Schizosaccharomyces pombe: one gene and its partners. The gene in region 3 interacts genetically with the main gene of each other region. Each region holds a gene or a part of one and is shown on either strand. Other genes may lie near its edges.

Evidence for each region.
Region 1: mutations in rmn1 (region 3) and mex67 are lethal when combined (synthetic lethality), as found in Schizosaccharomyces pombe (one study listed by BioGRID).
Region 2: mutations in rmn1 (region 3) and nab2 are lethal when combined (synthetic lethality), as found in Schizosaccharomyces pombe (one study listed by BioGRID).

What each region holds. Positions count from the first base shown.
Region 1 is NC_003423.3:2,408,225-2,411,824, forward strand, and holds the start of mex67 (nucleoporin Mex67), read right to left. Parts: upstream 1,898-3,600; 5' UTR 1,871-1,897; coding exon 80-1,870; 3' UTR 1-79. Other genes in the region: SPOM_SPBC1921.04C (uncharacterized protein), read right to left, coding at 2,827-3,180. UniProt on the Schizosaccharomyces pombe protein: Involved in the export of mRNA from the nucleus to the cytoplasm.
Region 2 is NC_003424.3:5,238,416-5,242,252, forward strand, and holds the start of nab2 (poly(A)-binding protein Nab2), read right to left. Parts: upstream 1,804-3,837; 5' UTR 1,403-1,803; coding exon 821-1,402; exon of another isoform or gene 778-820; coding exon 679-777; intron 633-678; coding exon 390-632; 3' UTR 1-389. Other genes in the region: SPOM_SPAC14C4.07 (transporter), read left to right, coding at 2,377-3,837. UniProt on the Schizosaccharomyces pombe protein: RNA-binding protein involved in RNA processing. Acts as a regulator of mRNA stability: binds to mRNAs and pre-mRNAs, preventing their degradation.
Region 3 is NC_003423.3:487,664-491,500, reverse strand, and holds the start of rmn1 (MTREC (exosome adaptor) complex RNA-binding subunit Rmn1), read right to left. Parts: upstream 1,646-3,837; 5' UTR 1,620-1,645; coding exon 1,590-1,619; exon of another isoform or gene 1,552-1,589; coding exon 1,514-1,551; exon of another isoform or gene 1,424-1,513; coding exon 1-1,423. Other genes in the region: protein phosphatase regulator Nem2, read right to left, coding at 2,729-3,271.

The DNA of each region.
Region 1 (3,600 bases), 1.9 Mb from region 3:
TACCATTATTAAATAAAAGTTTCCATTTCCCCAGTTTGTAATTTTTTAACCATATCTATCTATACACGTCACTAGAAGTTCATGAAAATGCTTCGGCTGGTATAACATTTCGCGACTTTAATTCCAAAAAAGATGCTAGAGCGCTGTTGTAATCCCAATTATTTTGCTCACAACACATGTGAGCATAGTAATCATTTAAACCTGTCTCCGCCTTAATTTTTAATACAATTTGTTGTCTAGTGTCTAACATTGCTTGTTCCGGTCTTGGCTGTACAATATCACTAGGCTTTGAAGCAGACGCAGACATGGCATTATTGCTTGTTCGTACACTGCTTTGACCAGGTAGCCACCCGAGCGATCCAGCAAATGAACGAATGACTAATAAATCATTTATAATCAATATGCCTGTGGAACCTCCCGGCAAAATCAGCAAAGTTCGATCAAAACTTCGTAGAAGTCGTTTGTTTTGTGGTTCCTCAAATTGCCCATGGACAACAATTTTGATGGCTGCACCAACCGAAGGCAGAACCAGGTTCCAACCATCAAAAACCCATTGCGAACGGTCTGATAAATCGTGAGCCGTAGCAGGTAAGGATTTTACAGCGTTGCTTATTTCTTCGTGCCCGTTAAATAAACGAGATTTCGACTCCTTCTGTGATTGTGAGTAAAGTAGATTTCTGCTTTTCATTTTGTAAGCTCCCCATTTTTTAGTGTCTGTTTTCTGAGAAAAGTTCGTTCTAACGTTTGAAGCGTTCAGAGAGATTGAGAAGGTAGCATTTGGACTGTATAATTGATTGACAAGTGCACTTCTATTCTCATCCCAACCTTTAAAGAACGCAGCCAAAAAAGAATTGACTATTTGTTCGGTTTCAACCTTATCAAAGAAAGATTGATAAACCGGAAAAGGGACGGTAGATTGAGAGGCGATAATCTCTGAATTTATGCTGTTACCATCTAAAAGACGAAGCTTCGGAAAACGCGAAACCATTTCCCGTTGATAATCCATAGCACGATTAGCAAAGGTTGTGACAATCGGGTTTCCGACAAGAACAAGCTCTTGGAGTTCGGGAAGCTTTGTTTTGGGGGACCATGGATCCAAGTCAGATAAAGAAGTAATCCGGTTATTAGCAAGACTAAGGTTTAAAAGTTTAGGCCATGTTTGTGCTAAAGTGGTTACGGCAGTCACCGATTGTAAGTTGTTATCCGACAAACTAACTGATATAACGTCTGGAAAGTTTAAAGAAGCAACCTTCATTAACGCTGGAAACATCTTACTCTTAGTAGAAGCCTCTGCTAAAATCCCCATTTGCTTTAAAAGAGGATCTTGTTGCAAATTTCCGAGGTCCAAGAATTTAGTAGCAGGTTGATAACGGGTTTGCAAAAACTGGCGTAACTTTTCAATGGTCTCATTTGTGGATTGTGGTAACGTTTTTGAAACATTTCTCTGGGCTTGTGTTGCTAATGCAGATAATGAAGGAGCTGAAACAGAACGAAATGATCGTTTTGTCTTTGCTTTTCTATAATCTTGAGTAACGTTAGAAGCTCCATCGACCCTTCGTATAGCCAAATGATCACCAGCAAAAGCCGCACCATTTAACCCGTTCAAACGACTAAAGTCTTGGCTTTTAACTACGGCAGTGACCGAAGCCGGAGAATATGAAATGTTCATTAGACGAACCTTGACTTTTCTCCAAACAAAGCTTATTAAGTCGTCCTCAGAACCCTTGGAATGACCAGTAATAACTACGGATATCGGGGGTTCACGCGTGGCACGAGGTTTGCCTGGTGTACGGCGTTTCTCCAATGGTGTATCAATTACCATTTCATTCTCTTTAACAGCATTACGACGCTCCCGCTTTCTACGCAACATTTTGCAATTATGTTGAGTAGTAAGTGTGAAGAGAAAGAGAGTAAGTGGAATTTAATTCAACATTTTTAACTTCAATAGTAATAGGACAAGTATAAGGAGTAGAGATGTGTACGCGCAAAACTGCGTTAAACAGTTAGACTATTTGTGATATAACGAGAAACTGTTAAATGCGTTATTCGTCTTTTGCTATGCTTGTATCGATGGAATTTGTGGAAATACATTTTTTGTTTTAGTTTATTTTATTGAAATTCAAAAAAATTTATATGAGGCTAATATAAAATCGTTTACTGTTTTTTTGTAAAATCACTATTGATATAACTCAATCGACCACCTAAAATTCGACCTCCATTAACATGAAAATTCAGGAGTAAATTTTGAAGTAAAGAACAGTTTAGTCAGTAAGACTTCCGAACACTAATTCCTTAAGCAATATATCAATATATGTGTCCCGCTAATTCTTGTTTTATTGCATGTTTAAAGAGATTGAGCACTAAGCAACGTAAGTTTTTGATAAATCTGGGTTTCATGAGCCAAAAAAAATAAACATTTTTTGGTTTTTTTTATTTTTTTTTTGGCTTGGATATCTATTTTTTGTTTAAATCGATTATCTACTAAATTTATGTATTCATTTTAATGGAGAAGCAAAATTACTATTTACAATTTTTTATTATTAACTAACAATATGATCGCCTGCACCTTTATCAATTCATATCATAAAAATATGTACTTACTTGTGAAAAAATGCCTGCTTATTTTTTTTATTTTCTATCCAGTATAATGCTCAATTCTGCTCAGTTATTGATGTAGACAATATATATAATATATACGTATAGAATAATTAATTGTTGTATAACAATGAAGGGTCAACTTAAAAAATGAAAGGACTAAATTTCTACAGAAATCGATTAAAAAAGTGTTATTTTATTTTCATTTATTTATTTTGAACAGCACTTGTTTTATACTTTCCTTGACATTATCGTAACCTCAATAGGATAATAACCTGAAAATGCAGCAAACAAATTACTTAAAAGGGTAGGGTTTAAAAAACAGTCACAAAGGTCTATAAACGTGAGTTTGTTAAGTTGAAGTTTCCCTATCGTGCGGTTATATACCGACGCCCACAATTCGTGTTGCTCACTTTTCTTTTTCTTTTTCCATGGAATGGTTTGAGCGTCATACGTGGGCCAGAGCCATATTGGACATCTTAGTGCCCTTACAGGAATAGTCATATTGATACTTTTTCTGTGGGTCGGTAGTTCAGATAGCTTTTTGCTTTGTAGTATAAGTTTTAAATTTTTTGTATGACTCATTAATGTTTTTTAATTCATTTTAATATTATTCATGTTATGTGTTGGTTGTATTTGTCTGTCTTGTGTAAATTTTGGTTGTATTCGTGGGTTTTAAAAACCTGCTGTTTACTTAATTTTGAATTATCGAAATTTCTTCCATTTTTTAGTGTTATAGGGACAGCTTGTTTGTCGGACAGGATACTCAATGGGTTTAACAAGCTACGTTCATTTCTATTTTGTCACTATTATGGCTGTAATGTGAAATATCATAGTTGATTGTGCCGTGGATAAAAGAAAAAATCCTAGTGTTCTTTGCTCTGTCTTCTCCACGGGTATTAACAATGCACATGCTGTATGTCGTTTAACGTTTAGATGCATTTCATATTTGTTCACCTTATCGTTATCTCTGTTGTATCTATTAAGTTCCCACACTGGGGCACT
Region 2 (3,837 bases), on a different chromosome or scaffold from region 3:
CCAAGTAACCAACAAGTAACATAAGATGTATTTAGTAATGAATGTCAACAAACGTGGGTATTTGAATATGTATAATATTAACTTAACCGAAGAAGTAAATAAATCATTATTTGCATAATTCACATCAAAATAAAATTTTCATTCACTAAAAAGACATCAATATAACGAAAACAAATTTTTTAAATCAATTTAGCGACTTGATAATTGCCGATTGCAGCAAACGTAGCGACAAATAAAACTTTATCGTTTTAGCAATCTATACAATAAAATAAATATCAAGTTTGCAAACTCTAGAAGGTATGTTCTTAAACGAAGTATCCTGGCTTGACTATCAAAAGTAGATATGTGCCAATTATACGAACACGAAATAGTATCATAATTCTCTAAATTTACACAGAAGGAACATGAAGTTGTTCTTCTGACTCGTTAACAGCAAACGAACGTTCACTCAGGGACGTCTCTTCTGTTTTAGAGGGTGGCCGCCATGTCATATTTCTGCTTTTCGTCGGGTGGATAAAACGACAAGCTGGATTCAAACACGGTTTATATTTACAAGGAATTGGAATGGTTGACATGGACATGAAAGGTGGTAATGTAGTAACCGTAGCTGGAGATGGATGTCCCTTGACACACTGTATACGTTAGTAATAGTTAGATTTAAATTATTATGGTACTTACATCAGCAGCTTTGCATTCTTTACCAGAAGCACACATTTCACTGCTCAGGACCATACCTTCTCCTGGGGCTGCGGCTGGTGTCGGATGAGCAAATATACACTAAAGAGTTAGTTTTAACAAATTATCTGATATTAATACATACGTTAGCACGGGAGCACTTATCGGCATATTTGCACAAAGGGACCTCTTGGGTTTGAGTGAGAGCACGCTTGGCAGCAGGCATAACGGATTTCGAGTAGTTAAACGAAGCTGCCATGGGATTGAATCGCTGTTTCTGAGATGTAAGTTTGAGCTTTTGTCCGACACGCCCAGTAGGTAGCTCCTTCTCTTCACGTAACGAAGTTATATTAGGAGTTTGAGAAGATTGAGGTTGTATGCTAGTTTCCGGCACAGAGAAAGATTGCTGCGACTTGTCAGTTGACTCCTTCTCGATAAAATCGATTTCGTCGATCTTGCTGACTGACTCAACTGAAGCATTTTTTGATTTTTCAAGCTCTTCAATTTGATTAAATAACCAAAGTGAGAAGCTAGTATCAAAATCGGACCCTATTAAATCAACTAGTTCTTCATTAATTTCAGTTTGTGTTTTTCCATTGCTAAGCATCACAAGAACAAAATCGGCCAGAGAAGCAGCCTCTTCTCCCCACCCATATTCAGAAAGTTTTTTTTCAATCGAATCATGAAGTTTTTCACTATATCCAGGTGTTTCCAGTAATGTAGTCATGTTGTTGGTTTACAGTCAATAATTAACTAAAATAAGCCAAAATAATAGAGATGCTCAAATTTACAATAAATGTACTCCGAGAATTAGTAAATCAATTCCACTCCTGTTATGGAATCAGAATTTAATAAGTTATGTACCGGTATATGCTCTAAAATGAAATCAAATAGCTCAACTTAGCATGAAATAAAGGAATTGAGAAGAAAGAATACAATCACAAAAATATGTTCACAGACAAGAAGTTGGCAAATTTGCCGTTCCAAAAGAAATAAACTTCCTATAGATGATGCGTTCGGAGAGCTTCAATGGAATACGTAGACTAAAGGTAATTTCTAGTAGCAATAGTTATATTGATACTGCAAGCCGTAAGTTAAAATACAGCAAGAGCCTCAGTTCAAACGTAAGTGGAATATAAGAAATATCTTTCACAGTAAGAACAGAAAGAATTAATAAATAGCATAAAATAGCGAGTTTGCTAATTTTTTTTCGAATATTATACCCAATTTCACTATAAGAACTATTCAACGACTAACGATGACACTATAACGCCACAACGTAACAGCATTAATTAAACTAGTCCAGAATCTAAGCGTCTAATATATATACATCTAAAGGCTTAGCCAACTACAAAGCAATTACATTGCATTGTCATTTTGGAATATAGTTATTTCTTCATAGTAACTAGTAGTTCAAAATTACTTTCTCGAGCAAATATTTTCCTTCGGTTCTCAACCTTCTTAGTAGCACCAACTACCTAAAGTCTTCTAATTATCTCGAAATCGAAAACGTTGTGAAACGTATATATTGCATATAGAAAAATTTTTAGGATATAGGTGCAAGGAATTTTACAATTGATGCTGCAGTTTGAGGGCAACGAGTTAATTGATTATTGCGAACATTTCGAGTAGAAGAGTATTTGGGTTATAATTTACATTCTATTTTATCAGCGTACCCACCATTTTGAGAAGGAGCTACAAATGTCTTCACACGATGATGATCATACTCCATTACTAATTTCCGATCCGTCAGTGAACAAGCCCTTTCGATCCAGAACTCCTTCACCAGAAAGAGAATACTGTTCTGATTGTCCTTTGCAAGCTAAAGGTTCTGCATGCAACGGTAATTCTCATTCATTAAAGCATGAAACCAATGGTGCCAGTTCAAGCAATAATAACGTTGCAAAGTCAAGCTCGCATGACTCATTTAAGGCGAAGCCTAAAAATTACGACTCTACCTCCAATTCTAATGAACCCATCTCTTTCAATGAACCAGATTCATCTAATTCTCATCATAATAATGAATCTATATGTAACAATGATAACTGTTGTCGTGAAATCGCCAGAAGACGTTCTTTATCTCCACTTTTGATTCTTCCATTAAACTTTATTAATGCCTTTTCTTGGGGCATGATTGAAATACCTCTGCTCTTTTTACTTCGACAGGAACTATGTGCCATTCATTATAACCTTGATCCTACACAGTTGTCCCCAGATGACCCAATATGCCGACTAGCGGAAATTACTACTGGTGTTTCAAAAGTCCGTGCCGCTTTTGGCTCTTTAGCCGCCTTTTTAGGTCTTTTTTCCACCGCTTATTATGGAACAATGGGGGATATTTATGGTCGCCGCCTTGTACTTTTCATTACCGTCTCATTTTTGCTGCTTGGTGATTTATGGCTTTTATATCAGTCCTATGCCCCCAAGCATCCATATTTTGTTCTTTTTGCTGCTGCCTTGAAAGGCTTAGGCGGTTATATTTCTACCGTTGTAGCCAGCCAAAATTCCTTTGTTGCAGATTGTTCTAAGACCGAGTTTCGTGCATGGTATTTAGGATTAAATTTTGCTGCTTACCATCTAGGAACCGCTTTGGGACCTAGTTTAAGCGGATTCATTGTGCAATACACTCCTCATATGTATTATGTATTTTATATTACTTCAACTTTTTGGATTATTTATTTACTTTACGTTTGGTTGATACTTCCAGAAAGCCTAGATGTTTCGGAAAGTAAAGAGCAGCAGAATAAAATATCTGGATTTTCCTCGATATGGAGATCATGCCTTGAGCCACTTATAATTCTTTGGCCTCGAAGTTTATGTACAGAGGAATCATGCGAATTCCATCAGTACGATATTAATGCTGATACCCATGCAGGAAGAAGACACTGGGACGTGTTACTTGCAGCAATATTGATATCTTTAACTTTACTCGGCGCTGGTTCAATGGGCTTATTGCCGCTTTATACGGACTATAAATTTGGCTGGGGTCCAATGAAGGCTAGCTTAATATTATCCACCGACTCTTTTGCTAGTTCAATCACATTAGTTGCGCTATTCCCTTTACTTTCTAAAGTTATCGAAAAAATAATCGAAAAGCTTTATTCTTCTGAAGGATTATTTGAAGATCCAAGTCGTGCAGACAATACCTCTTCCCTACAAGGG
Region 3 (3,837 bases):
AGAAACATTTATTACACGAAGCTTAGTTGGACGATTATCGATGGACATTGACGCAAACATATCACCTCGTCCGCGACCTCTGCCACGGAAAAATGTGTTGGTACCTCGCTGGGGAAGTCCTGAAGCGTAAGGATGATGAGAACCATTAGATGCCGCTGGGCTTTCAGAAACGTTGCTCACAGGTAACCCTAAGCAATCAGCCTCAGCCTTCAAAAGAGAATGCTGAGTTTCTAACAACATGAGTCTTTTGTTTCCTGAACGGTCAGTTTCCTTAATTTTTTGCATCAGTAACTCTTGTTCTTTTAATTGTTGCTGTGCAAGCTCGCGCTTTTTTTGGTTAAGTTCTTCTAGTGCCTTTTTATTAGCATTTATGCGTTTTAAACGTTCTTCGTGCTGCCTTTGCCTTTCTTCAATCAGTTTATGAAACTCTTCGTTTTGTAACAAAGAAGCAGGATCGACATCTTCAGAACTCTCTACATTCGACGAATCGGAAGTAGTGGGAGATTTATGGGATGCAAACTTCTTTGGTCGATTGTGAAATCCCTTTGACGGATTATACCAAAATATTTTAATAAAGCGATTGTTAAATATGGGCTCAGGCGAGGACCAAGCATTGTTGGCAGCCTCATGGGAAGTGAATTCTAACACACAAGAATGATGTGTCGGATTTAATTCGACTTTCTCCAATACACCGAACTTTGAAAAAAAGGACCTAATGTTCTCCTCATTAAAATGCTCTTCCGGAATGTTTCGCACTTCTAAAGCAGTACTTGTTGGATCATTGCCAGCGTTACGAGAGAAGCGATGTCCCAGATGGGGTTGGGGATACGCTTTGTATGGATTAAATCTTCGATTACCAGGAGAATGCCTACGAAGTTCACTATTATGCTCATGGCGCATGCCAAATCCTCTTTTACCTCGCATCTTAAATGGGGGAGGGAAAGGAGGCTGCGCCGCAGGATTAAATGGTAAGAATGGTATGGGAGGCATTGCAGGATTTGGTAAGTTTCCAAACCCAGGAATACTGGGCATGAATTCAGAAGGTGCTGTGGCTGCTGGATGGTACAACGGAGGTCCAAACATATTAGGCACCTGAGAGGGAAAAGTGTTTGTTTTTCCTACAGCAGGTAAAGAATTATTAAAATTGGTTTCCATGCTGTTGGTGGCAGGGATCATTGATGAAGTTGGCGAATACCTTGAAACTTCTTCAGTCACCATACCGGTTGACGGCATATTTGAAGCACCCTCCAAGTAAGATTTTTCACGTAAAACATCAAAAATTTTATCAACAAAAGGAATTGTCTCCTGTCGCAAAAAATCTTCTAGTTGTGAGTAGCATAACTGGCGAACTTCTTCTTCAGAAGAATCGTGCCTTAACAATGCCATAGCATAATCTGATAAAACACTTGCATCAGCATCAGAACTAGTCATTTCGTTAGCATATTGATAAACAATTTTTTAGCGTGTAAAAAAAAAAATCACGCAAATTGGCAACTCAAAAAAAATTACATACATTGGCTCCAACGCCTGTTCTAAATATCTTTTCAAATACTAAAAGCGTTAATTCGGCATCTTAAAAATAAAATTACCTCAGCATGTTCTTCTAAGAACAACGGCATTGTGATGGAGCAAAGTGCTGGTTGTTGGAGCGTTACGCATGGTTGAGCCAGTAAGAAAATATAGATCACATAAGGTAAAATCTTTAACAATTAGCCAGAAAGTTCAAAAAGAATAAACATAATACCAAAATAATAACAAATGTCTTAGCTAGGGCAATTGGCTGGGATAAAATTTAACTGAGTAGTCGACATTAGATAAGGAATAGGAAGGTTTGCATAATATTACTCGTATTTAGACTACTAATATACAATGTATTTTAAGTCAAACTCTGACGATTATGAGAGTTTCGAAAGAGTTCACTTGTCTCCAATTATTTCATTGATTAAATTGTCAGCACAACAGTGAGTAAACGTGTTAGCTATATGCACTTTTTTATATTTTAGCACCACTTATAAATAGTTAATTTTAACGGTGGAGTGATTACATTTATATTAAATTATTTGAAAACCTAACTCGTCAAGAGAGCTAATGAACGTCCGGTATAGTCCGCATGAGTAAGTTGAAAATTAAAAAAAAAGGAAGTCTCTACATAAGAAGAGAAGAAGTTTTGCTTATGTACATGCGAAAACGCTTTTTACCCATTTTTTAAAAAAAAAGGTGATGTAGAAAGAAAAGAAAGATTATAAGTCGGGAATGAAAGATAATAGTTTAAGTTGACAGAACAAGATAAGGAAGTTAAGTGACAGCAACTTTCAATTAAGCCTTTATTTAAACCCTTCCAATTAAGATGAGGCAAGTAAATGATCAAGATGTGTAATGAATCATCAACATCCTTTTTTTAATTATCCAACGATAAATCCTATTTCAGTGGGTCTGTAAAGCAATCTCATATCCCAACATAAAAGGAAATGTCCTTAAAAGTATCCTAATAAATTCAAATCGGGTAAGTATGTAATAAAAGTATAACGACAATAACTGATCAATAATATAGCGAAAGGCGCCAGCAACAACGGATAGCAAAAAAAAAAATAGCTGAAAATTTTAATCAAAATTTACGTTATGAAAAATGACAAATACTAGAACAGTATAAACATGAAAAGCATTAACAACGTTGAAAAGGAAATAAACGATCGCATCCTTTATAAATAGGATAAGGGTATAAGTAAATCTAGTTCTGTTTAGAAGAAGGAGATTCAGAGGACTCGTTACTCTGTATGCTATTGTTTTTTCTATGTATTGAAGCAAAATATGAAGAACGAAAAGCTTCCCAACCTTCGATCACCAATATGTCAAATCGTTTGCTTGATAATATAAGATGGACACCACAATCCAAAGGCTTTCTCACCTGGAACCACGGGACAGGAGTTATAACAAGGCGAATGTTAAAAAACCTCATCGCTTTGTTGACTTGTTGAACATAACGTGATGGATATACTATTGTAGTCCGATACAATCCAGAAAAATAAAAGAGCAAAAGTGTAACAATTCCGCATAAAAGACAAAGTTTGTAAGTCAAATCAATCAACGAGTATTTTGAGATGCGATAAAAGACGCGATAGCCAAAGTAAAAGTTCCACACCAATAGTGAGACATAGAAAGCCATATACTTTTGACGACGAACTTGAAGCTGTAGGTATGTTTTCCGAAACGATGCCTCTAAAATTAACAAGTTGTGATATACGGACAGGGTGTTGGGCACATAAGAGGACATGGCATTTTATTCACTCTTAACAATACGTAGGAAAAAGAATAAAAAGATATAAAGAACTTGAAAAACAGAATATAAGAAAGCTTTTTGGAGATAACAATAATTGGACAATATCCAACACCAATTACAAGAAGTCGTTATGAAGACCACAGAATGAGATATGTGCGTAACATAAGAACTAATTCAATTAGTAATAGTACAAGCCGATGATTCTAAAACAATAAAAGAACAGCCCTTCTAATTTGCTGATTCAAGTATCAATCGGATGGCAGATTCTAAAAGTCAATGTCAAAGCTACGCGCCGATAGCTATAATATCAATAGTGTGCAGCTGTCTACTTCGATATGTGCTATAGTAAACGATAGTAAACGTTGGTATACTGTATAACGATGCAAAATATAGTGAGGGAGTGTTAACTGTGTTCATTATTTGGTAAACATCAAAGTCTTAAAAAGTTCCGACCAATGGATTAGAAAGCTTTTACTGACATCTTTTTACTAAATGACTGCTCAGATATCAATTCTGTATTTAAAAAATCTTATGTTTGGATAAAAATATATAGGCCAAGT